Linked DNA regions of Drosophila melanogaster. The gene in region 4 interacts genetically with the main gene of each other region. Each region holds a gene or a part of one and is shown on either strand. Other genes may lie near its edges.

The links.
Region 1: of LIMK1 (region 4) and Pax, changing one suppresses a phenotype caused by changing the other (phenotypic suppression), as found in Drosophila melanogaster (one study listed by BioGRID).
Region 2: of LIMK1 (region 4) and Sb, changing one enhances a phenotype caused by changing the other (phenotypic enhancement), as found in Drosophila melanogaster (one study listed by BioGRID).
Region 3: of LIMK1 (region 4) and tsr, changing one suppresses a phenotype caused by changing the other (phenotypic suppression), as found in Drosophila melanogaster (2 studies listed by BioGRID).

The regions. Positions count from the first base shown.
Region 1 is NT_033779.5:19,420,095-19,426,443, forward strand, and holds the start of Pax (paxillin), read right to left. Parts: upstream 3,459-6,349; 5' UTR 3,321-3,458; exon of another isoform or gene 3,185-3,320; intron 98-3,184; 5' UTR 1-97.
Region 2 is NT_033777.3:16,113,473-16,119,811, reverse strand, and holds the start of Sb (stubble), read right to left. Parts: upstream 3,652-6,339; 5' UTR 3,253-3,651; intron 1-3,252. UniProt on the Drosophila melanogaster protein: Hormone dependent protease required for epithelial morphogenesis, including the formation of bristles, legs, and wings.
Region 3 is NT_033778.4:24,043,262-24,049,059, forward strand, and holds tsr (twinstar), read right to left. Parts: upstream 3,545-5,798; 5' UTR 3,408-3,544; coding exon 3,405-3,407; intron 1,922-3,404; coding exon 1,731-1,921; intron 1,659-1,730; coding exon 1,553-1,658; intron 1,490-1,552; coding exon 1,343-1,489; 3' UTR 1,192-1,342; downstream 1-1,191. Other genes in the region: IntS1 (integrator 1), read left to right, coding at 1-1,077; gammaSnap1 (gamma soluble NSF attachment protein 1), read right to left, coding at 4,022-4,060, 4,244-4,598, 4,665-4,735, 4,805-4,999, 5,074-5,189, 5,378-5,445, 5,508-5,572. UniProt on the Drosophila melanogaster protein: Exhibits F-actin depolymerizing activity and regulates actin cytoskeleton dynamics. Required for cytokinesis in both mitotic and meiotic cells and for aster migration and separation. Promotes cell motility during ovary development and oogenesis.
Region 4 is NC_004354.4:12,588,338-12,594,578, forward strand, and holds the start of LIMK1 (LIM domain kinase 1), read right to left. Parts: upstream 3,857-6,241; 5' UTR 3,594-3,856; intron 2,148-3,593; 5' UTR 2,112-2,147; coding exon 1,504-2,111; intron 1,347-1,503; exon of another isoform or gene 1,246-1,346; coding exon of another isoform or gene 1,187-1,245; intron 1,012-1,186; exon of another isoform or gene 985-1,011; coding exon 919-984; intron 831-918; coding exon 1-830. Other genes in the region: CG1824 (uncharacterized protein), read right to left, coding at 4,363-4,611, 4,670-5,275, 5,539-6,241. UniProt on the Drosophila melanogaster protein: Protein kinase which regulates actin filament dynamics. Phosphorylates and inactivates the actin binding/depolymerizing factor tsr/cofilin, thereby stabilizing the actin cytoskeleton.

The DNA.
Region 1 (6,349 bases), on a different chromosome or scaffold from region 4:
AAATGTTTTATTTGAATTATTTATAAGCGCATTTTTATTTTTGGCCTTTCGGGGCTCTCGACGACGGATTTGTCGTTTTTGTTTGCGTTGGGTTAGCCTGTCAGAGAGTGGATATTGTAGTTGTCGTCGTCGAAGTTGTCGTTGTCTTCGCCCGTCTATCAGAGCTTTGCCCCAGTCCACAAAAAAAAGAAGAAACAAAAAATTGAAAGAAACTAGTTCCCTGCCCCCGTGGAAGTCCAAGTGATTTAATGTTGGAAATTGTTGTCTGGAGAGTGCTTTGTGCATTCGAATTTCCTCTATTAATTGACTGAGACTGACAAAATACCGCATTAAAAGATTAAAGGGATGTGGTGAGGTGAGAGATCTATGATCTAAGCTGCATATATGATGAAGAGCTCTCAAAAAGACGAGAAATAAATCTACTGGTAATGTAAACATTGTCTGTCAGTTCATCAGTTCATCATGCTTCAAACCTAAGAAATAAATTACCTAAATCAATACTCGAAACAAAGATATTTAGTTAAGTCAATGAAAGTCCACTGTCAAACAAGTCAAATGATCTTCATCTGAAGTGATTACTCTACTTAAGATGCACCTTAATCTTCCGTATCTAAAGATCAAAAAGATAGAGAAGTCAAAAATGGTTCTTTATAGCGTAATCACTGAAGATGCAAATCAATCTAACCGTATCTAAAGATCCATAAAAACACCAACAAGAGCGATAAATCAGACCAAAAAGTCCGGACCAGTTACTCTGACTTCCTAATCCCAATGTGCGTGGGTGAATCTCAATAGATGATCTATGCAACTAACTCAATTTACGATGGCCTGTAGATTTAGTTGAGCCAACAAACGGTCTATAAAGACAGATTTATGGAAGCATAAAAATACCAAAATGAACATGCAGGCCACATTTTAGATTTTCGTTCCAAACAAATAACGACACATTGGAAAAAGGTAAAAAATAATAAACATAAATTCACCGACCGAACACAAAGCGAGCCGGGCCAAAAATACGAGTATCGAGAAGGGAACGGGGAATCAAGGTTGCCAAATTACGTCAACACCAATGATCGCCAACTAAAAATATCCAAAAGAAAAATAAAAAAACAAAAAAAAAAAACATTTCTAGCAAATCAAAGGCGACGTTTCGTCGTCTAACAAAGGGAGGCTAAACTGGGAAAATCGAGCGAAATTAATTGAAAATACGAGAGATTTCCGCAGATCGTTGCCAAAAGGAAGGGCAATAAGAAAATAAAAATCTCACTTTCCTTCCAGGTCTTGGCTATAGTCAAGTCCAAATCCATTTACCTCCACACCTGAGGCATTACTCAGTCCATTTGGGAATGACGTCGGGCCGAAATTGTTGTTCTCGATTCGGTCTTCCTTCTACGAAGTCAAATTCAAAAGTCAAAGGCACAATTTCGTGTTTATTTTGCAGGAAATTCCTAGCGATCTCAATATAAATATTTTATTAGTAAGTAGATAAAATGTGTGTGAATGCGAGTGTTGACCTTGCCGAAGGCGCTAAGGTGAAAACGCAATGCGTGGCCAAACGGAAAAGTGGGTATCAGCCCAGGGAAATTCATTTGTGTGGGTGATACCGATCTCTCTTCACCGCTCAGTGGCCTTTAGCCGGGCCTTTCAATAAACTTGGCCAATTTATGCCGCTGTAAACTGTGCGTGCTTTTCACATTCCACTTCTGTAATAGGTTCGGGAAAAAGCGACGAGCTATCGCCCACTGACTTTTGGGGCCTTTGGGGTCTTGATAAGATATATAGACCCTATATTGGCCAATGGCCTACGTACTGAGCAGATAAAAGGCTTTTCTGGAATTAAATATCAATGTCTTTTGATTGGCTCAATGGAAGCTTAATTGGTTATATTTGTCGATTGCAAACAATTCAATAGTATTGCACTTATTTATTTCAAAATATTTGTGAGCAATGAATCTAACCCAATGTTTTAATTGCACATCAACTCGCTGCTAACAATTAACGATTTCGAAATCTATCGAAGCCACTCATCTTTCGCTAGCAATCGAAACAACACACTCTAATTGAATTTGTATGGCTGGGCGATAAGAATCTTGTTTCCAGTTGAAAGAACAGAAACAAGGAACAACAACAACAAAACACAGAGCAACTCGCTGAGCAAACGAAAATCGAACTCAAACCTGGCGATGAACTCACTGCACTATGAATTACGATGATGGAGAATCCAGAGGTGCTAAGTAGTTGGGGCTTAAAACGAGCTTTTAAACCCAAATAATCCAGAGATCCAGAGTGATCTGTAGATACTTAGTTAGAGGTTTCAAAACGCACAGACAATCGGAGAGACAAAGACAGCAGCTGTCTGGTCGTAAACAAATGGCATCCACTGAACGTATCTGCGAGATACAAAATATTGGGGAGAAAACGAAAGCGATTCTCGTAAGTGCAGAACCCCCCAACAACAAAATATTCATTTGTGCGCACTATGTCAGCCGAGTTTACATCATTCTCCAGCATTTCCATCTGCTGTCGTAACTCGAGATACTTTTACGAGGGGAAGGGGAAGGAAGTCCCCCCCCCCCCCATCGCACTACCACCACCACTCGTGAGAATGCACTTGGCTTCGATTGCTTGAAATATGTGAAAAATGTCATAATTTTAATAGATTAAGTGGGCACAATTTAATTGCTTTTGCTGCCTGTTGTTATGTTTGTTTGGCTATTTCGGTCATTTCCCTCCAGAAAAACACAGAAATACCGAATTAATTTCCATCTCAACACACCCACGATCTTAATCCGTTCGGGGCCCCGAGGCGAAAATTAATGGGGCTAACCAAAATTCTATGCTCTGCCAGATCTGGGCAAATATGTCATATATTCGAATGTCTTGTCCGTTGATAATTAGTTCCATAATTAGTGGAAATGCTAATGAAATTGAAATGTTTTGCGAGCAACGCGCCGAAAAGATTTGCCAAGAGTTAGTGGAATCTTAAGGCGAGTGACACGGATCCATAAATCTTGGCCAGTTTATTATATTATATTATTTTTTTTAGCTAACTGCTTCTGGCATTCCTGCTTTATCGTTTATCTTAGTGCTAGATATCTTTTGATGTTTGTCAACTTTTTTTTTTACTGCAAACTGTTCTTGCACTCGAAGTAAACAATTTCCCACGCTCCAACCTGCCACTAACACGATTCCACTGATTTTCATCAACTTTTTCCCGCCGTAGTTTGCCGTTAAACACTTTTTCGTTGCCTTTTGTTTTGATTAGGCTTGGTTTCTTATATGTATATTCTATCGCGTTATCTGTGCACTTTTGCCTGCACCTTTGGCAGTGTGTTGTCACATATTCTATATATTAATCCCAGAGATCGTAGGACGCCGTTGGGAGACCGCAATCGAGAGACTCCGAAAAACACACGCGCTGCGCTCGCGATTCAGTAAAAGCGTCGCAATCGACTGAAATCCAAAGGGGGGCCCGATGCTGAGGCTCCAATAGACGAGCGCTCCGGCTCTCTCGCAGCTGCTCACGGAGAGCGGGGGAGCAAGAGAGCGAAGCGTTTGAGAGCTGGTAAACAAACTGCACTGCGAAAAAATCTTCTTAGATTTATAGATGTATGGATGTATGGATAGGCATAGTATATTCAAAACGATAGCTTAGCTTCGTAATAGGGGCTATATCTAAAGTAATATATATCTAAAGGAATGTTTAAAAAGTATGTATCAGCGGTTACAGCTTGTGAAACCAGTATTATGATTATTGTTGTTTCTGAGTAAACAACTAATAAACTAGTAAACAAGTAGTAAACTAATTTTGAAAAATCGAATTTAAAAAAAATGTATTTTAAATCAGAGTCCATATTGTCGTATTTTATTTTCAGTGCCAAGAGAGCCAGTTAAAAGAGAGAAAGAGCCCCACCACGTAGCTTTTCACTTGGAGTGGCTTTTCATTTTGGCTTGCGGCCTGCGGCTGAGCATTTCGACCGCAAGTGGGAGGCACAGCGAAAGGAAACCAGAGCGGACGAAAATATTGTCGCCCGATTGGAGCTTTCCTTTGGGTGTGTGAACAGTGGGCCAGCTGCCAAGAAAACCAACCCCTTCGTTGCTGACGAATAAACGAAAACGTGAGTCAAAGGCATCCAATATCAAAACATTTCTGAAACTATCTTCAATTGTACAGACAATCCGCAAGATTAAATGTTTCATAAAATGACAGTGAAAATTGGTATAAACAAAATTCCTCTGGGACAGTCATGTTGGAAATGCTTATCACTTAACAGCTGCTTAGGCTTTACAATTGTTTATCGACAAACATAGAAGATAACTAATTATATACTTTCATGACCATGAACACTGTGATATACATTGATACGATCACAGAAAAGGCAGAAATGGGATCTCAAAAACTCTTTAACCTTTCGTCCCACTGTGCGAACCTTTCCCCGTAACCATAAGCGATCATTGCTCTGCAGTTGGAGTGCTCCCCTCGGCGGAAAACGCCATCGACGCTCAATGCCCAGACAGACCTAACCGATCTCGACAGATCATCTCGTCTTTGCTGTTACAGTGCGCACACGCAACACGAACAGAAGACATTGCGTGTCGAGTGGGCGATGAAGTGGGCGCGCACTCACTAATGGCAGCAAAGCAAGATTGATGCAACTGAGTTGCTGGAGAAGATCAAGATGAAGTTGGAGATGAAGCTGAAGCCTCTACTTCCTGTGCGAAGTAAAGCTTCGAGGGCAGAATATTTATGCTGAGATTTTAAGATCTCGAACGAATTTCAGTATTATAGTTATTATTATATTATTGTAATCTAAAAAGTGATCTGAAATATTATTTGTTATTTAACATGATTTTGCAAAAGCTCTATATGAAAGTTTCTTAAGATCTAGAATCCTACAAGCCCAGCCGATAAGCAAATTTTAGCGGGCTCTTAGACCACTGTGCGTAGGTGTAGGGCAAGTCAGCTGGAATTCTTCATAAGTGTTAGTGGCCTGGCCTTTAGTCATTTCTTAAGAATTTCTGGACACACAACTCTCGGCTGCAGATTTCGTTTTGCTTCACTTTTATATTTTTATCAAAAGACATTCCGAAACAGCGAAGAATTGTGTCATAAAGAAAATAAAGTGAGACGACATGTAGACTTTTATTTCGCTGATGGAGACTAAAAGAGCACTGTGGGGCAGCGAAGAAAGCAAATACAGCCCGGCTGATTAAGCTGCCTCTCTCAGACCAGATCATTCACATGAGTACAAGGGTTTCGAACTTGGGGCTGCAAGAAACCACACCCTCCTTGCTTTCTAGAATTGTAAATGATTTCACACTGGAAGTGCTGAGCGCGATGCTTTTATGTTCGATTCAAGGAATTAGGATTATTCATAAAAGTGCAAGGAATGCGCGAATCGGACCACAGCTATCGCAATAGCCACTTCCCGAATTAAAAGCTCATTCATTTACTTGTGCACTTTGCACATATGTATGTATGTACATAAGTATGTATGTATGTACATATGTATGTATGGACCCATGTACATATGAACGGGTTCAAAGATAAGACGAGCACTTGAAATTCATCATCAAGAATTTTAAAGCACGTAACACAACCATTTTTAATCGTGATTAATGATTGTATGCTTACGATAAGAATTTCGAAAAACAGTAAATATTGAGTTTCAAGAAATATTCAATAATAAATATTTTTGTATATTGGGAAATATATTAAACAAATAACACATCTTGTTCGGTCAATGACTGAAGATCACTCAAAACTTTTTTACATAATAACAATTTCTTAAAACAGAAGTGAATAACAGATTAATAACTAAAAAGATACACAGAACACACGTTGCCATTCAACACGTGAGGTACGTTTTAGCCACTCTTCACTGTAAACGAAAATTATTCAAGCGTGAGATTTTCGACTTCCTGTGTCGCCACCTGGCGGCCAACGGCAGAATCCTCAGCTACATGTTAATTAACTCCAATTAGCGACTGACCTTGAAGTCGCAGAATTATCTTTGCGGCTTTTGCCTACGTCACACGGTTTATGCTGTGGAATGCTCCGCTTGAGGAAGTCGCTTTTCCCCGAGGAAAAGTGGACCACCACTTACTTACCCAAATCGTCCATGGCGATGGTGTTGTTGTTTTTCCGCCCTGTGTGCGTTAGTGTGCGTGTAGTTTTCCGCTCTTGTCCAATTGGAATGCTCAGTTTTCTGGATTTATTTGGCACAAGCACACGCGTTTTTTAATTGATGCTGATTGAAAGCGAAGAGCGACAAGTCCACGCAAACACTTTATTTTCCTGTTCACCCGCAACTGAAAAGCGCGGAGTTGGCCGGAGACTAATTTTAAG
Region 2 (6,339 bases), on a different chromosome or scaffold from region 4:
CCACCAGCAGCTACTATTGAGTCATTTGCCAGCACAGAAAAGAAAACAAGAAAGACGGTAGTTGGGCGGTATCGAAAAATCTAATACCTTGTACTAGCATGCATATAAAAATAAATTGTTTGCACAATTATTGACTCCATGTATATATATACACAAGAGAAAGCGCTGTTTTGGGAATCATTTGTTGTTACAGAAGCATTTAAAATATTTGTCCCGAAGTTACCTCTACTAGGGTATGTCATAGTCGTGGCTACCAATTTGGCCAAGATGAGCCGAGCGTATGCCAATACTTTTACGTGTACCTGGTGCTCTCCATTCCTTCTGATGATCAACGGCTGATAGTCGGTACCCAAACATATCTATATTTTATTGCACGCAATTTCCTTTCAGCTCAATTCGTTTGCCAAATCATTTCCCCAGTTCTAGGCAAAGATTTTGAGTGCTCCTCCAGCCGCTCCTGAAGATAATCAGCGTTCGTAGAGGAGCCTGAGCTACCAAAACGAGCTACCTGATTGCCCCTGGAGTGAGAGTGCGGAATGGAATGATAGCTAAGTGCCAAGTGGATCTCGCTCTGTGTGGGTATTAGCTTGGGTAATCGGAGATGGGGCGCAGCCCTCTTAGGAGGAGGGGAACTATGGCAAAATGGAACAGCAGAAAGGTTGATAGAAGCTGCCGATCGGAGATAATGAGGGCCTGAAGGATACAACGCCATATAACGCAGATAGGTATAAGATCTGATTAGATGCAAGGGTTTCAAAGAAGCCTCCTATGTAAGGTGCCTAATGGTAAATGTATTTGTAATAAGAAAAAGGTGTTACTAATGTCGAATGTAAAAGTAGTAAAAACTGCTGACAAGGCAACTTATACCGCATCGCATTGAAAACATTCCGACATTTTCATCTTGGTTTCCTACCGCAAAGTGGAAGAAGGCAGTGGTTTGCAAATCAAATCGTATATAAAATCATCCATCAATGGACAGCTAACACTATCGGTTTGAACTTCCTGTGTGCCAGTGGCTTTATCTAGCTGCATCCACCACCCTAGCCACCTTTATTACGGCTAACCACTGGCCACTTGGATATGGGCCGCCAATTGATTCCATTGCTAATGACTGCTAACGGTTCCACAGACACTTGCCGCAGCTTCGATTGCGGCTGAGGAAAGGAAGCCAGCGGTTACCGCTGCAACGCCCAAGTCGCCGGGAGCCTCTGCCATCCACAGATCTCGACGCACTTCACCTGCGGCACAGTGAGAACGATCGGGAAGGATCACTGATTGCTCAAATTATTATTGATCGGTTGTAAGAAATATTTGATGATCATATAAAAGAATAAGAATTACTTTGAACTACTAGCTAATTAAAAAAAAAATTAATTAAACTAGTTGGATTCCCAATTACTCAACAAAATACACAAAATAGGAAGTAGGATTAGCCAACGCTGCGTATGAGTAATAAAAATAGTTCTGATTCTTCAGTGAGATTCCCCTGGGACAAACATTTACATTCCCTATCTAACTTCACCTGTTCTATCAAATCCCTTTTAAGATCCTCCTTCTCGAGGCCCCACTGTCGCTGGGCAGCAGCACGTTTGCGTGTGGCTTCCGCGGCCGCCCGTCCAAGATTGATTGGGCACTCGTTTATTGTCAGTGGAGCTGGGCTTATCGCATCAGTGCAATTTGTTTGCGCCGCTGCTGCTGGCGGTGGTGCAGATTCCCCTCAACGAGAGGTGCTGGCGCAACAAGTGGGTTTGTGGCCGGACACCTGCGACCGCCCCTTTTGCCTCACAGAGAGCAAAGGGGTAAGGATGAAGGACGGTGTAGGGTGTCCTCCACTGCCAATGGACTCGCACGCAACGAGGCTTAATGACCCCGCAAGCCTTAATTAAGGCCCAAACTAAAACACTTTGATTGATTTACGCTTGCCAACTAACTGCCCGAGGACAGGGACAGTGATATGGGGATGGCCACAATTAAGAGAGCGGTGGGGATGGAAAACGAATCCGGCTTCTTGCATAATTACCCCGTAAGACTCAATTAACTGTAAATTAAAGAAAATGCTCGCTTACATTATGGCTGCACTTAATGTCGCGTGTGATAATGGTGCAGATCTTCTCTGGCACTCAGTGCGACTTTGCGAATCTACTCAAATTGGGTAGCCGAAGCGGAAGATACTTCAACCAACATGTGAACCCTTGTTGATATTTTTGACACTTGTATATATATTTGATATATACCTTTATTTACTCACATAATATCATTGATGAAAAGAAAATTTTTGGTTTTCTGATTTTGTGAAAACACTTCAAAATGTTTGAAGATGGCCCAACGTGTTGGAGATGGTTTTTGCATTTTAAAATTGCACTGCCAGCCGATTGGTAATTATACCCGTAGAAAGGGTACATTTTAAGATCATCGCAGAGTAAGAGCATTTTTTGTTGCTTTTGATGCTTTTGTTTTTTTGCTGCCACAGCGGCAATGCCACTGCCCACCCCCCGCGCTCTCACACATGGAATTAGAGCGGGTAAAAATGTACGAGGAGATAAAAGAGAGGCGAATTAAGTAACAAGGCACTTAACGTTAACACTTAACAAGGCAATGTCGTGGCTGTCTTGGCTGAGGCCTGAAACCTGCGCCATGCACCGTGCACGGGGAAGTTGGCCATAAAAGTTGGAGCTGGAACTTTGGCCGGGACGGGAAGCCGGAGGAACGAAATGCCATTAAGTGTCATTGCTCATTCCGGCGAAAGATTGATATCGGGCTTTAAATATGCGTACCGCGAAAGTATGGGATGGGATCGGATAGGATAGGATAGAATGGTACATCAACACTGTCACGGGGTCGCCAGAAATGTGAGTGACGATGGTGGTGACTGCAGATACCCGAAGTGCATGGCCAAACTTCCCATAAAAGCAGCAGGCGAAAGACATTCCGAACGGAAGCAACTGCCCTGTAATTACGTATTTTTCGAGGAATGAATTATATGCCTACAATTCACATACAGCATTCTCAGGGATAATCACTCTTTTATTTCAGCAAACATAAACCTTAAGTATGAACTCTTTTATAAGTGAAACTAAGCACCTATCATGACGAAATTGGTTCCTCTTTTTTGTATGCCAAAATGTTATAATAGAACTTTTGTAGCCTCAAAAGAATAGATTTGCATATATGTATGAAACACCTAACCGAAAACTATGATTGATTGCAGCTTTGCAAACTGAAGAACCGCAGAGCTGGCATCCAAATACATACCAAAAATCTGATCGCCAGGTGGGGCCGCCAAAGTTGGCCCAGAGTGAACTCCAAGCTGAGGCTGAGAGTGGCAGCCAAAGGCAGTTTGCGGTTAAAGCGGCTTATCACATTAGCACACTTCCAGACATCCAGACATCCAGACATCCAGACTTGCGGACTTACAGGCCTTTGAGCGAAGACAGAAAGACCCGAACGTGGCTAAAAGAGCCGCTGGAGAACCGTTAGCGATCGCGACATTCGCATCCTGCTTGGGATCCTTCGCACACACGCACACGTAGAACTGAACTGACTCAGATATATCTTCGTACTGGGTGGAGATGCTGCCGAGATATACGAGTACGAGTTCGAGTACCGGCCGGCTGCACTTAACTCTTCGCCTGGACGAGATCTTAACAAAACTAACTCGATCGCCATTGATCGGACGCATTTCAACTTAAAGTCAAGTGGAGAAGGCGCTGACGTCGAAGTCGACGGCGGCGTCCGCGTCGGCAGCGAACTGCATTCCCAAACCGAGTCGCGTTTTACTCACCAAATAAATAAGACAGAAACAGAAACAGAATGATACAAACACAAAAAACAATAAAAAAAAAAAAACTAAGCCAAACCGAACTGTGTGCAGAATTTATGGCTTGGGCTGTGGCCGTCCGGAGAAATGCTCTACAAGGCGGGCAGTCAATAGATCTTGGGTCTTCCCAATGAATCAATAGCTTTCCCGGAGCCACAAAATGAATATCGCTTGCGTAAGACAAAAGAAACTGGAGAAACCCGTCTGAATTCAAGATCAATCTAAAAGGTCCCAAAGAAAGTGGCGCTTGAGTGGGGGGACCAGACCACCCTATTCAAGAAGTGATGGAAAACTTAAGATCGCATACGGAAGATCTCGGGTAACAGTTGCTATTGTCTGCATTTGGAGGAAGAATTTAGAGATCTCATAGAAATCTTAGAATGCTTCTTTAATTATTTTAGAGATAATAATGCAAAAGTATTTAAAATTTTCAGCAATTTATTATGTCCTTTTTTTCTACTTTATAAAGTAGTAACTTATACAGGAAGCTCAATTGGCCCCGCAAATGATTCAAACAGCAGATTAAGGCCTCCTTCGCAATAATTCACAAAGGAAAACCTGAATGAATTCCATCCACGTCATAACTCCAATACTTTGTGTTGATCCTCCGTTGACATTATTTATGGAAGCTCTTAGAAAACCGAGGAGCCCAAAATACCTCCATGTAGCGCACAACAAAGTGTGGAAGAAAAGCAACGTTCTGCGGTGCTGCTCATTTTGTGTGGTTGCATGGCTGTGTTGCAGATGGAGCAGGTGGAGCAGTGGCAGGGGCAGGGGCATGGGCAAGAGCAACGGGGCAGCAGCACAATCGAGTTTCCACCAATGTGAATTAAATAGTTGGCCGAAAGAGAGGCGACAGAGAGCTCAAATTCCGCTAAAAACGCAGCAAATCCCAGACGATGGCCACAAAGTAATGGAAATATTGAGAATTCCTTAGCCGCCACTTCGACGGGGTCTCCATCTCGGTTAGAGTCTGGGTCTGAGTCTTGGATGTGGCATAGCCGTAACTCAAACCGACCATTAGAAACGAACATTAGCAGAAGACGTCTAAGAGCTGCAAATGCTGCAAAGGAAAAAGAACTAACGAACCTTGACAATTAAGTTTGCGCCACTCTGCCAAACCCAATTGGAATTCAATGTGCATGCAATGGCAGAGGCAGAAGCAGAAGCAGAAGCAGCAGATGCAGCCAGCAGGGATACCGAGATGGAGGAGGATGCGACTCAGACGGAGCAGGAGGTGCATCTGACGTTGATGATGCTCCCCGGCCTCCTCATCGAACCGAAGCCGAAGTCGACAGTCGCACAAAAACCCATACTCCATACCCCCAAACTCCAAGCTAAAAACGCCAAACTCCCGACTGGAGTCGCTTCGCTGTCTGTCGCTTGCTAATTCCCCAACAAATGTTTGCTGTTGCTTTGCTGTTGGCGGCTTCTGCAACATGTGTTGCAACAAATCGGCAAGCGACTGCAGCTGGAAAGTCGCGTGATGATGCGCCAAGTGGAGAGGAAAAATCTCGTTAAAGGTCGTGTCACAAATTCTGCAGCACTCAGAGGCGAAAAGGGGACAACGCCAAGTGCCAAAAAGCAGAAACAACAACAACATCAGTAGCTAGTTGCAACAAAGGCTGCAGCAGCAGCAGCAACGGCAATAGCAGATGCAAACTCGTGCCGCTGCTAACACAATAAATTTTCTCTTTCAGCCCGGGCGAATCTGGCGTTGAACTGCGTACATGGGTGGCCAAGTGATGCTCCTCCTCAGGCTCCACTTGCTGCCTCTCTTGGACGACAGTAAATGGCTACAGAAACAATCTGAATAAATTTGTCGCTAACTCTGGAGTTAGTGGTCCACGGGAGCGGGTGGAAAATTTATGAACCCGTTGATAGGCTGATGGAGATCTTTCCGGGAAATATTTTGATGGGACGTTGTGTTGGCCGTGGTCGGATTAACCTATTGAGTAATTTATAGCAGTGGGTGTGGATTAAAGATTTCGCAATGTATTTGTAGTTAATTTATTTGAATTTCAGTTTCTTATCTCTAATTTGCAAATCGTTTATTTAATCTCTATGGTTTTCTTAATATATACATACCTCACCATATGCGGACTACCATACGCTGTTAAGTTCATTGAATTAACCTTTTTCCTGTCATTACGCCTTTAAAATAATAAGCAGGCCTTATCTATGGGCTAGCTAATAATACCAGGACGGAACCTAACACAGTCTTGGCTTTTAATAGCCCACCATTTAATGTAAGCCATTTCGTTTGATTTCAGCTTTGAATCAACCCCACCCATCAATATTATCCTTAATACAGTGCAAATTCCGCCTTAAGTACTTGCCATTAAGCATCATTGCAGTAACTTTGTCTTGGCCATAACTCGGCACCGAGTACCCCCATCGGGGTCTTTAATCTCCCGCGGTCCGGCTGCCGTCAACCGGGCCCCATCCTCCAGACTTTCCACGTCCGCAGCTTCATGCGTGACCCCGATTCTCACAAGACTGGAAATGTGTCGGATTGGGAG
Region 3 (5,798 bases), on a different chromosome or scaffold from region 4:
CCGCTTCTCTTCCTTCGCCAGCTGGGCGTGCTGTCGTCCATTATGCAAGGTCGGGCCCAGCTCAGCATGAAGGCCCTGCGCGAGGAGCACCACTTCCACCGATTTGTACAGATCCTGAGGACGCTGGAGCTGCTGCAACCAACCATCTTTGAGGAGGCGTACAAGAACGAGATCCAAAACACGCTGTCGTGCTACTTCAACTTCTTCAAGCACCACAGCAACGTAAAAGAGGCCTGCCAAATGCTGAACAAGTTTGTGCAGATGCTCCAAGCCTACATCAACTACAATCCCTCAAGTGCTCTGCTCTTCATCGAACAGTACGTGGGCATCCTGAAGGAACTTGCAGCCAAGTACACCTCACTAGGCAAACTGCAGGTTTTGGTCCAGGCCGTTGCCCTGCTGCAGCACAAGTCGCACTCGGCGACGGAATTGGACGACGAGGAAGTTAAGTACGAGTACGATCTGGATGAGCATTTCGATGTAAAGCCATCGGCCAGCAAGCCCGTGGTAACAGAGGATCCCATCGAAGTGAATCCGCAAACACCCATCGATCCAAGCAGCAGTAGGGGTCCCTTATCGGTTCTAACCTTGGGCTCGTACAGCCGGTCGAACTACACGGACATATCGCCGCACTTCCTCGATCTGGTCAAGATCATAAAGCAGTCCAACACGGAGGACGTGGTCTTGGGTCCCATGCAGGAGCTGGAGTGCCTCACTTCCAAGAGATTTGTGTTCATCAACGAGCTGTTCGAACGACTGCTCAACCTTATATTCTCGCCGAGTGCCCAGATCCGGTCCATCGCCTTCATCATACTGATCAGGCATCTGAAGCACAATCCCGGCAATTCGGACATCAACCTGTGCACCCTTAACGCCTACATTCAGTGCCTGCGGGACGAGAACTCCTCGGTGGCAGCGACGGCCATTGACAATCTGCCGGAGATGTCGGTGCTGCTGCAGGAACACGCAATCGACATCCTAACGGTGGCCTTCTCGCTGGGCTTGAAGTCGTGCCTGAACACTGGCCACCAGATTAGAAAGGTTCTCCAGACTCTAGTGATCCAGCATGGCTATTAAGCGTTCGGTCTATAAGTTAGAACCGTCATCATATGTACAATGTAATCTTTGCTCCTTATAATAAAGTGTATTCTGCGGTACGAGATTTTTACCACAGCGGAAACGCGACTTGGTCAAGTTAAATATTTCATTCTTTATTTCTACTGAAAATACAAATTATGTAGAAAATTCTCATACAAATTGGCGATCTCAACAGGATACGTGTTTCCATCGCTGTTTCATGCATGCCTTGTTTGTTAAATGCAATGCACAGTGCTCGTACAGTTTATTGGCGGTCGGTGGCCCGGAGTTTCTCCTCGACGGCTTCCCGGGAGGCTTCGGAAAGATCAGTGGCTTGTATATACTTTTGGACGCCCACGAGCGACTTCTTGAGAGCATCGAAGGAGCTGGAGTACAACATCTTCTTCTTGACCTGTGGGTGTGTGATATCGAAATGAGTTCTGCGCCATTACTTGGCAACTGGCTATTCACATACCTTGGCAGTATCGGGACACCACGACATAAGGAACAGCTTTTGCTTCTTTGAACTCTCAGAGGTGCCTTGACACTGGTGCATGTACTCGAAATCGAACAGTCCGTACCTGTGCAAGCGAATAGATGTTAAATTAGGTTAGTTTCGATGGGTCTGGGTGTCTCTAACCGGCGGAACTTACCGGCACTCTCCAGGTCCGCATTTCTGGATATCTTCTAGAAACTGGTCGTACTCGGCGTTGCGATCTGCCACAGTCTCCACATCAATCTGCTTTTCATCGCGAATGTAAAAGATGACATAGCGATGCTTTTTGTCCTTCTTTATTTCCTCGTATGTAGTCTTGCAGACATCAGACACAGTTACACCAGAAGCCTTTAGAGAGAGAGAAGGTAGAGATGCAAATCAGAGAATGTATTTTGAATGTTCAATGCGCGCCAAACTGTCAACCAAGTGTGTGTGCATGTATGTGATACAGGGTGCTCTCTTTGCGTTTCCCCAAGTATTCCCTTAAAACAAATGTTCATGAAGTACCAAGTAGTTGAATTGTAAAAAAAAATAAGTGAAGTTCAATGTTTTATGCCCACATAAGACACGAGGCACCCTGTACCTCACTGATGTACATATGTGCGTATGTAACTGACTGGCAGACATAACTGCCCACCTTCAGCTGACAGTATATCCGTCCCTTTTCGACTTTGCAATTTTATTTCTTTGATTGCCGGCAATAACAAACATAAAGGTAAATAATTTATGCTACTTTATTTGCATTGCCACCGCAGAACTTTTACCGGTTAAGGCGTGCGCACACTTGGCACGCCGATTTATCTGGGAGTGGTGGGCGTGGCACCATTTACAGTTAGATTTTCCTTTCTTTTTTTCCCGGCGCTCGGAAAGTTCAAGGGTAAGTTCACAAGTGCCGGCAAGTTTAAGGGTGAGAACAAGCCGACAAGAGGGAGAAAGAAAACTAAAAGGGAGGTGGCTGTTTCCCCACGATTTCGTTGCGCTCACAAAACGGTGGAAAATGCCCGATTTTCCATAATATTCGGAAAATGTCGAGAAAATCAAAATCGTCCCACATGCAAACAGTCGTCTGCTGCACACACACAGCTAAACATCATGTGTATGTATGTATGAACATCCGCAAGGCGGCAAGGAAACGATCACACCTTAAATATGTATGCCTGCAGATACATATATGGATATATATTGATACATATTTCTGTATGGTAATATGGACGTACATATGTACACACATTTTGCGTCTGCGAGAAAATAAGCATTAAGCATTGCCCCGCAGATACATACATACGCACATATTTATAGCCATCGAAATATAAAAAAAGCGGTATACCCACACACGCTCAAGTGTGTAAAAATATATATATGTATAGACATGAAAATCCAATGTGTGTGCATTTCTCTTTCCAACATTTCAATTTTTAATCGCTCCATTTTTCCAGCTGCCACTTTGGAGCATTCTTTCGCGATTGCCTTTCGCGAATTTGCCAGTTATGAGTGTGAGTGGCGGCTGAGAAGTATGAAACACTCCAATAAATGAGTAATATCCGCTGCTACCAATGACTAATTTGGTATATATGTATACGCACACATTCATGACCATGTATATGCCCGAATATGGCCAACGAACATATAGGCAAAAAAAAGTGGAAATATATGTATGATTGATATATACACACTTATCTAAATATGTATGTATATACAGATTTCAAAGGAGAGATGCTTATATGATTCATCGAATCGAAGACATTATTTGCACTCCACCTCGCTTCCAAAAGTGCACAATGACCGGCCGCTTTTACCACCGAGTCTGAATGCGAGTCCCAAGTGTACGTACCATTTTTCCTGTAGTTTTTCGCTTTCACAATTCTCAAATTGCTGCTTCGCCGAGTATATATTTTACAAATACTGTTTAACCTTCCGCCTTCTTTCACGAACAACCGGACGAATCAATTTGGTCGGTTATTTCGCACAGGTTAGGGTTGCCAGGCGCCGGCAAAGTATCAACATGCGTCGTGACGCGTCGCGACGTTTGTGAAGCGTTTGGAACGGTGAAATGGCACACTTTCGATCTTTCAAAATGTCAAATATTTTAGGGTGCTTTAAAATACATAGTATAGTTTGAGTTAATTTATTTATTTATATTAACAAATTGCACTATACTTTCGTGTAATAAAGCTGAAGATTTACAGATTTGAATCTTAACACATTCGCTGTTTTGGAACATAGAATATATATACATAGTTTACACTTATAGCTACAATTTATTACTTCAATATCAATTCATCCCAAAGCTAATGATATTCTTTGTTGTATAGTATTGATCTTAGTATTTATTAATTAGTACAACGATTGCGATGAAATTTGTATTTAACAGTTAATATAATATGTTAAAAGCGATATTATTAACGATAAATATATTTTGACTAACAAGCAGACCGAACATTAAGAAATTTAGCACAAGCCACCTTCGTCCTCGGCGTCGTTGGTTTCCTGCGAGAGAGAAAGAGAGAAAATACGAAATTCTTGTTAGCTATTTAGTTTACTGCTTCGCACTGTCCCAAGTCTTCTATCGACAACAAAGGCAGATTCAATCGCCTATCGATAACATCATAATAAGAGCCAAATTTACAAAACAAAAATTGCAAATTCCATTTTTAGAATAAAAATACTCACAGCAGCAGTGTCGCCAGCCTTCTTCTCCATCTGTATACCCTGAGGTAGTGGAATGTTTTTAGATAGAATAGCGTACTCAACATCCATATGTCGTATGAATGGGGATGCCAGCATCCTAGCAGCTAACTCGGGATCCTCGTCATCGAAGGCTTGCAGAAGGGTCTGCAGTGTGGACACTTCCTCTGGCTCGCAGCAGTTTCCCCACTCCCTGAAGGTCTTTTCGGCTTCCACGGAATCCCCGCGAGCCAGTTGGACCATCACCAAGGCCACAACTAGGCGTCCAATTTGTCCGTAAGATTCCGTTTGCTGATTCAAGCTGATCTCCTTTTTGAGCGCATTCGTGGCTTCGTCGTACCTGGAGTGATTGGATGATATAAGCTAAGGATACCCAAAGTGATTCGTTGCAATCATAGGTACATACCTCCTTAGTTTGACCAGTATCCTGGAAACTTTTGATGCATACTCGGCTGCTTGACGGACGGAATCCTCGATCTGTCGGGTAAGTATAAAATTAATAGTTTAAGAATGGAATTGACTAGAGCAGTGTCAAATAGGACGAACCATTATGACTTCTAGAGCATGCTGATAGAAGCGCAAAGCCATGTCAGGATGCTTGGATTCAGTTAACTTGGCGGCTTTATCCAAGGCGGATGCGGCTGCCTCTGGGGAACCGTGCTGTTGATACAAACTCGCCGATTTGTTGGCGTATTCCTCAACTTCGTGTAGCTTATCGGCATCCTTTGACAGCAAAATGATCTAGAAGATGTGCACATTTAGAGGGTTTAAATTTCCTATTAACTTCACTTATATTAACTTCAATTTAAGCTCACCTGTTCGTATGCCTTTGCAGCATGGAACCAAGACTTGTTGTTTTTATAGGCGTCGATTGCCTTCAGAAAACACTCCTTGCTCTTATCATAACTTTTAGCTATTCGATATGCAGTGGCTGCAATTAAAAATGTAAAAGAAAGATACATAATTGTACACCAATATGTGTGTATCTTGCAAGTTATGGATACTTTGGGATAATCGTTAGCTGTAATTCATAGTATTTACATATCTCATTGATGTCACAATGTTTTTATAGATAGATACTCTGGGTGATATTAGTCACTCCTACTTTGTGAAACTCACCAGCTTTGGAATACTCATCCGCAGCACTATCGTAATCAGGAACCCATTTCAGCATGGACAACTTCAAGCTGCAAATAAAGATGGGTGTTATTTGGAAACCCCTTTATAAGGATATTTTTGTTGGGGATACCTCTTCTCGGCCTGCTTCACCAGGTCCTCCGCTTCGGCAATCTTTTTGGCAGCGATTCCCGACATTTTCAACCACTTTTGTTTAGCAGGAAAAATCAATTGTTTACGTTTGAAAATAGTGTGACCGAATGCGAGAAGGAAAATAACAATGGTTCGAAAATCACGGTGGTTTCGAATCTTTGAAAACCGAAAGCAGTACGCATGTCTGAAAATTTCAGAAAAGCAAAGCCTGATTACACCGGGAAAAAAAAGTTGGTCTTATAAAGCAGTTGACTTCGAAATGAAAATGCCA
Region 4 (6,241 bases):
AGCGGACGCGCTGGGGCCAAGGGAGTACTTGGGCTGGATCGTGGATCAGCTCCTTGAGACAACCACCGGCCACGTACTCCGTGACCATGTGCAGTTTCTTATCCTTGTACAGAACACCAATGAATTTGAGCACATGCCGATGGTCCAGCAAACGGAGAACGGCCACTTCCTTGATGAAATTCCTTTGCGCTTCCTCATCCGCACGATGCAGTTCTTTGAGGACCATCACCTCGCCGCTCTGACGGTGGGTCACCTTGAAAACCTTGCCAAAGAAGCCCTCGCCTAGCTTCTCTCCTATAACCAGATCAGTTGCACGAAAGATTCGTTGTGGCTTTTGGACGACACGGCAGGATTGCGTCCTGGACAGATCATAGAGCTGAGGATGCGCCGAATGCTGTTGTGCCTGATGCTGTTCATCCAGCAACTTGGACAGACTGGAACAACGCTCCTTCTCCTTTAGTTGCGTCATTGCGGTGGCTCCAGCTGCCGGTGGTATTGTCGTAGAGGCATTGGTGGCTTGTCGCAGTTTCCTGGCCTTCGTGCCCTGTTCGCCGGGTGTCTTGTACAGACGCTCCCTGCCCACCTCGACACTGGAGGCCGATGTGCTGAGCGGCAGGATTAACGTGGACGCTGACATGGCCCGCTGGATGTCCGCTTGGCTGCAGGAGCGGCACACTTGCACCGGATCATGCTCCACGGTCAGCTGAAGCATCTTCTCATTACTCCGTATCAATTTGTCGATCTGTTCCACGGACGAATCACTAACTGGTGTGCCGTTCACCTCCAATATCCTATCTCCAATATGCAGATTTGTAAGATTCACATCAATTCTGGATAATAGGAAATAAATCAATAATTAGCAAAGTGTTACTACTAGCTTAGTTGTTGCTTTTAATTCAACTCAGGCACATTTGTTACCTATAAGGCGCCCCACAGCACTGTTCCGCCATCGAGGTTAGCCACAAGAAGAAGTTACAGAACAAGCTATTTTTTTTTTTTGGGCAAGCATGTATTAGGGAAATGCAGAAAGAGTCGAAGGACGAACGCCCAGCGAAATTAGTTGGCAATTAGGACTAGACCTAGTTAGCTAATGTGCAAACTTTAACAAATGGCAACCAAAAGTGAGTCAGATTGAAGCAATAAATTATATACAATCAAATAATAGTTATCATTTCACAATACGTACTTCGTAGATTTGAGCCATGGTAAAATTTTTTTCAGTACAAAATGTAACCAAAAAGACATTCTTCTTTAAATTCATATAAAAAAAATGTTGTGACTTGTGTGTAAAAAGTGAGAAGACGGCTTGGTTTGTATAACATATGTACATTAAACGCAAAGGCAACTTAGAAGTTCAAAAAAGAGTACAATCTGATCTTTGAAAAAGATCTTAAAAAAAACAACAAGAAACAAATGTAACAATAAAGTTAATAAATAATGCAAATGCATGCATCTCAATGAGTTCATTGATGTAAATTATAGTAATTTCAGTTAATTTCTTACTCTGTAATGCGGACCGTGGGACAACCATCGTCGAGGGCCACTCCGTCGACCCTCAGGCCGGGCGTGGCGTCCTTGGGTATCTCGACCAGACGGATGGAGTGCATCGGCTTGCCGGCCGTTGTGATCCGCGCCTTCGCATCCGCCGGCTGGCAGGAACGTTTGCCATAGCACTGGCCACAATAGAGCTTCGAACGCTCGACAAGGGCGTACGATTCGCCCTCGCCGATGAAGGAGCCGCATGCCGTGCAGCAGAAGCACTCCGGATGGAATTTGTGCTCGCCGGCGACCATTACGGGTCCGGTGATAACGGCCATACACTGCTGACAGGCATCGCCGAATCGGCCGTAGTAATCCTCACGACAGTACAGTAAGCCCTCCCGTTCGAAGTACCAGTTATGCAGATGGCCCTCGCAAACGGAGCAGCGAAAGCAATCGCAGTGCCATTGCTGGCCGAGAGCCATCACGATTGGCTCCTCTGGATGTGGCAGTAGTTGACCCCGACAATGGGCGCACAATGGTGAGTGTCCTCCGGACACAGGTCCTGATCCTGCGCCCAATCCAGTGCCTCCTCGTCCGCCATTTGCCCGCAGGCGCTGCTGATGATGCATGGAATGTTTTTGTGCCTTGGCCCGATCACGTTAGCACTGTGGGTAAAGAGCAGGGGGGCGGGAGGTTAAAAAAAAGGTATTAGTCGATGACGGAATAGGTATTAAATATAGTAAATATAGACCAGCAGTCACGGAACTTGGCCAATTATCGTCAACAGGTCGATATGAACCAGTGGAAACTAAGCAAATATCATATAGGCAATGTAGGTCTATAAATAAGCTATCTTTACCCATTATCATTAACGTTGAGAAAAAAGATATCTACAATGATATCATACATGAAATGCATTTATTATCAACTAATATAGTATTATATTAGTTTTTCTAACTGATTTAAGTGTTAATGATAGGAAGGTTTGGCATTTTTCAAAACCAATTGCATTCAAAACTCTCCGTGATTTTTTATGATATACTGGGACAGCAATTCGAACTTTATTGCTAAAGCGATAGCCATGTAAATATTTTTGCGTACTAAACAAAATGACCGAACAAAACAAAATAATTGAGTCCGGTAGTCATTAGTTTAGGGTTCAGTGATAAAGACTTCGATCCTGAGTCAGCTGCCCCCCATCGGAATTCGCTATACCGCCTGATTTCCATCATCGATTTGCATGCATAATCCATGGATATATGCATATGGACATACATATGTATATGCAAATACACATGAATGTTTGTGTATTTATGGATATAGCTCAACATTGACCGTGAAAACTCCGGTTGATGCAACAACAAACGCGACTCTTTGGATCAACTGCAATCGCAATTGCACTTCAGCTGAGCTAACTGTAGTTGTTGTGCACGTCCCTCTTCCGACCGCATAAACATGACCAATGAATGACGAATGCACACGCACACACTTGCACGCGCGCACAGTGGTCACATGTGAGCCGTGCGTTAAGTGCAGTCCAAGCTCCATTAGGGGTTAATGTGCCTTTAATCACCTGCTTAACCCATTGAACTTTTACTTTAACCAACCATATCACAGTGCTGTGATTTTGCTTTGAAGAGATTGGAAATGAGTGGGTGTGCCACCCTGACTGAAGTCTATAAAATAGCCAAGACAAGCTAGGTTTACGAATGGAACGAATGGTAAAAAATCAAGTAAGTTTGAGTATTTGTCGCACTAGTCCCGCTAGAAACTAATTCCGTTTAATCAACTATGGTTATCATAACTTGCGGTCCAATTTTTGTTAATTAAGTCAATTAATTCACTCAGGCAATTTGCATATTTTTGGACTCCAAAATTCAGGAATGTGTCCACTGTGCGGAGGCAGAAGCACACACACACACGCGTACAGGTGCTGCACACACACACACACACACACACATGCACGCGCTGTTAGAAAATGTGTGTGGGGGAACGGGAACAACACGACATTAGCAAAGCCAATAGCAACAACAACTGGTTTTTTACTTAGATTTTATTGTTTTTTGCTGGACTTGTACACTAAACTAAACCAAACACACACACACACTTACATAATTGTTCGTTTGTATTGCTATTGACTTGACGCACATTGCACATTTGTTGGTTTTTCCTCGCCAATTTCTTATTCGACTGTAATTCCCGCCAAGCAATTATTAATCGCAACTACCGAAATGCCGCGGATTTTGTTTAAATGCCGACGCGACGCACAGCTCGCTAACTCAAACAATAAAAAAGAAATGCATAATAAACAAAACAACAACAAAACTACACAAAATAAAATACAATTCAGCCAGTGTGACCGTAGGACTGTCATTAAAGAATCTCAAAACTATCGTCTAGCTGCCAATCAACTTAAAAAATATATAAACTCTTTAATGAACAAATTTTTTATTATAAACACGCTGCTTGTCACTAACAAGAAATATTGAACAGAATTGAATATTGAAATAGTTTTTCTTTAATCTTCGAGTGACCGTATATGAGTATGGTTGTAGAAATAATGCGGTCCCATTGAATATATTATTTAACGGAAATTGGGATTTCAAGTGTTTTATATTCAGTTTTTCAAACTTTAATTTAAGTTCACGCATCCCATCTATTTTTAATGAACCCGGTGAATTTAGCGATAATGACAATGAAATACTTTCTGTTTATAACAAAAACAATACTGTCTTCAGCGTTTATTTTATTGTATACTTATTGTTAGCGTCTCTCACCATTTTTGTTTTTGGTCAGTTGAAAACAAAAAAAAAAGTGAAAACATTATAAGAATATTAAATTAAGTGTATAGGGAATCATTCAATTTGCCTAACATCGTCACTATCCTTGCGCTGCGTTTGCCCTGCCACCGAAGCTGCTGCTCCCCACTGTCACTGTTGCTGCGGAAGTTTCTGCGGCAGTTGCAATTGTTGCGGCTGTTGAAGTTTCTGTTGCAGTTGCCTGCTGCTCCTTGACGGCCACAACGTCCTCCACCGCCTGGACTTGCTCCTGGATGTCCCGTCGTTCCTGCTGACGCACCAGCTCAAAGTACAGGCCCCGCTTGCCCATCAGTTCGTCATGTTTGCCGGTCTAAAACAAGGGAAAATATAAATATTTCTGAAGATACCAATGGTCTAGGACAACTCACCTCCACGACGCGTCCCTGATCAAGGACGACAATGAGGTCAGCGTTTCGTATCGTGGACAAGCGATGGGCAATCACCAGAGTGGTGCGATTCTGGACCACTGTATCGAGTGCCTTCTGCACTTCCGCCTCGCTGGTGGCGTCCAAGGCACTCGTCGCCTCGTCGAGGATGAGGATGCGCGGATTCTTGAGCAGCGCCCGTGCAATGGCGATGCGTTGCCGCTGACCGCCGCTCAACTGGGTGCCCCGTTCGCCCACATGCGTCGCATATCCATCGGGCAGGGCGGTCACAAAGTCGTGCGATTGTGATAGACGCGCTGCCGCATACACATCCTCCTCGCCCGCATCTGGTTTACCATATCGGATGTTCTCCAATATCGATGTGCCAAACAGCACCGGCTGCTGTTCGATGAAACCGAGGACATTGGACCGCAGCCAATAGGGCGATATGTCCGACAGCTTGTAGCCGTCCAGTTTGATATTGCCCGCCGATGGTTCGTAGAAGCGTTCCACCAGCGACGCTATCGTCGACTTGCCCGATCCACTGGCTCCCACCAGGGCCACCGTCTGGCCCGGGCGGAGCGTCAGGCTAAAGTCCTTGAGCACCAGCTGTGAATGAAGCAAAAATTGACATAGGAAGTTCATTACTGTTTGCATTGCCTAGACTCTAATCTTTTTATCACTTAGCCGTAAATATTGGCCATAAATGTTTGTGGGTATTATAAAATGGTTATCTACTTGCGGAAGCGATAAGAAGTTATTCAATATTATATAAAAAAGTGGCGAGTTTACAAATTACAGAGCATCGATTAATGTAAATATGCCATCATTGTCTCGAGAATGAAATGAAGATATACTTTAATACAACTCACATGATCGGGTTGCATGGGATATGCGAATGAGACGTTCTCGAATCGAATCTCGCCGTGCAGCCGCTCCTGCGGGATGATGTAGCCGCGCAGCAATTCCACCTGTGGCTGCAGCGATAGGAACTCGAAGACTCGACTGCCGGCCGACATGCCTCTGATCATGGTGCCCAGCAGGATGGATCCCTGGGCAAGGGATCGCTGCACACCCTGCGAAGCGACCAGGAAGGCCATCAGAGCACCCGGCGACAGACTCTCCGTAGACATGAGGTGGCCGCCCATAAAGAGCGTAGATAGGACTAGTGTATTGAGGAAGAAGTTGGTCAGGCCCTGGAAGATTGCGATGCCGTAGCCGAGTTTCTGCGCCAGGCGAGCCGCCTCATTGGTCTCCGCCTCGAACAGCTGCATCTCGCGGTATTCACAGGCACTGGATCTAACCGTTCGGATGTTGGACAGCGCCTCCTCGCAGACACCCGTCGCTCGTTCCGCCTGCGCCTGTGAGCTTTTGCTTAGAGAGCGCAGTTTCTTGCCCAAATACGTCATGAACATAACCACGCACGGAACGCTGGCCAGCGCAATGGCGGCCATGTGCGGTGAAATCATGAAGAGCGATATACTGCCGCCAATCAGCTGGGCAGCACTTCGCAGTCCCTGGGAGACGAACTGCTTGAACGAGGTCTTGAAGTCCTGTACATCGGCGGTTAGTCGA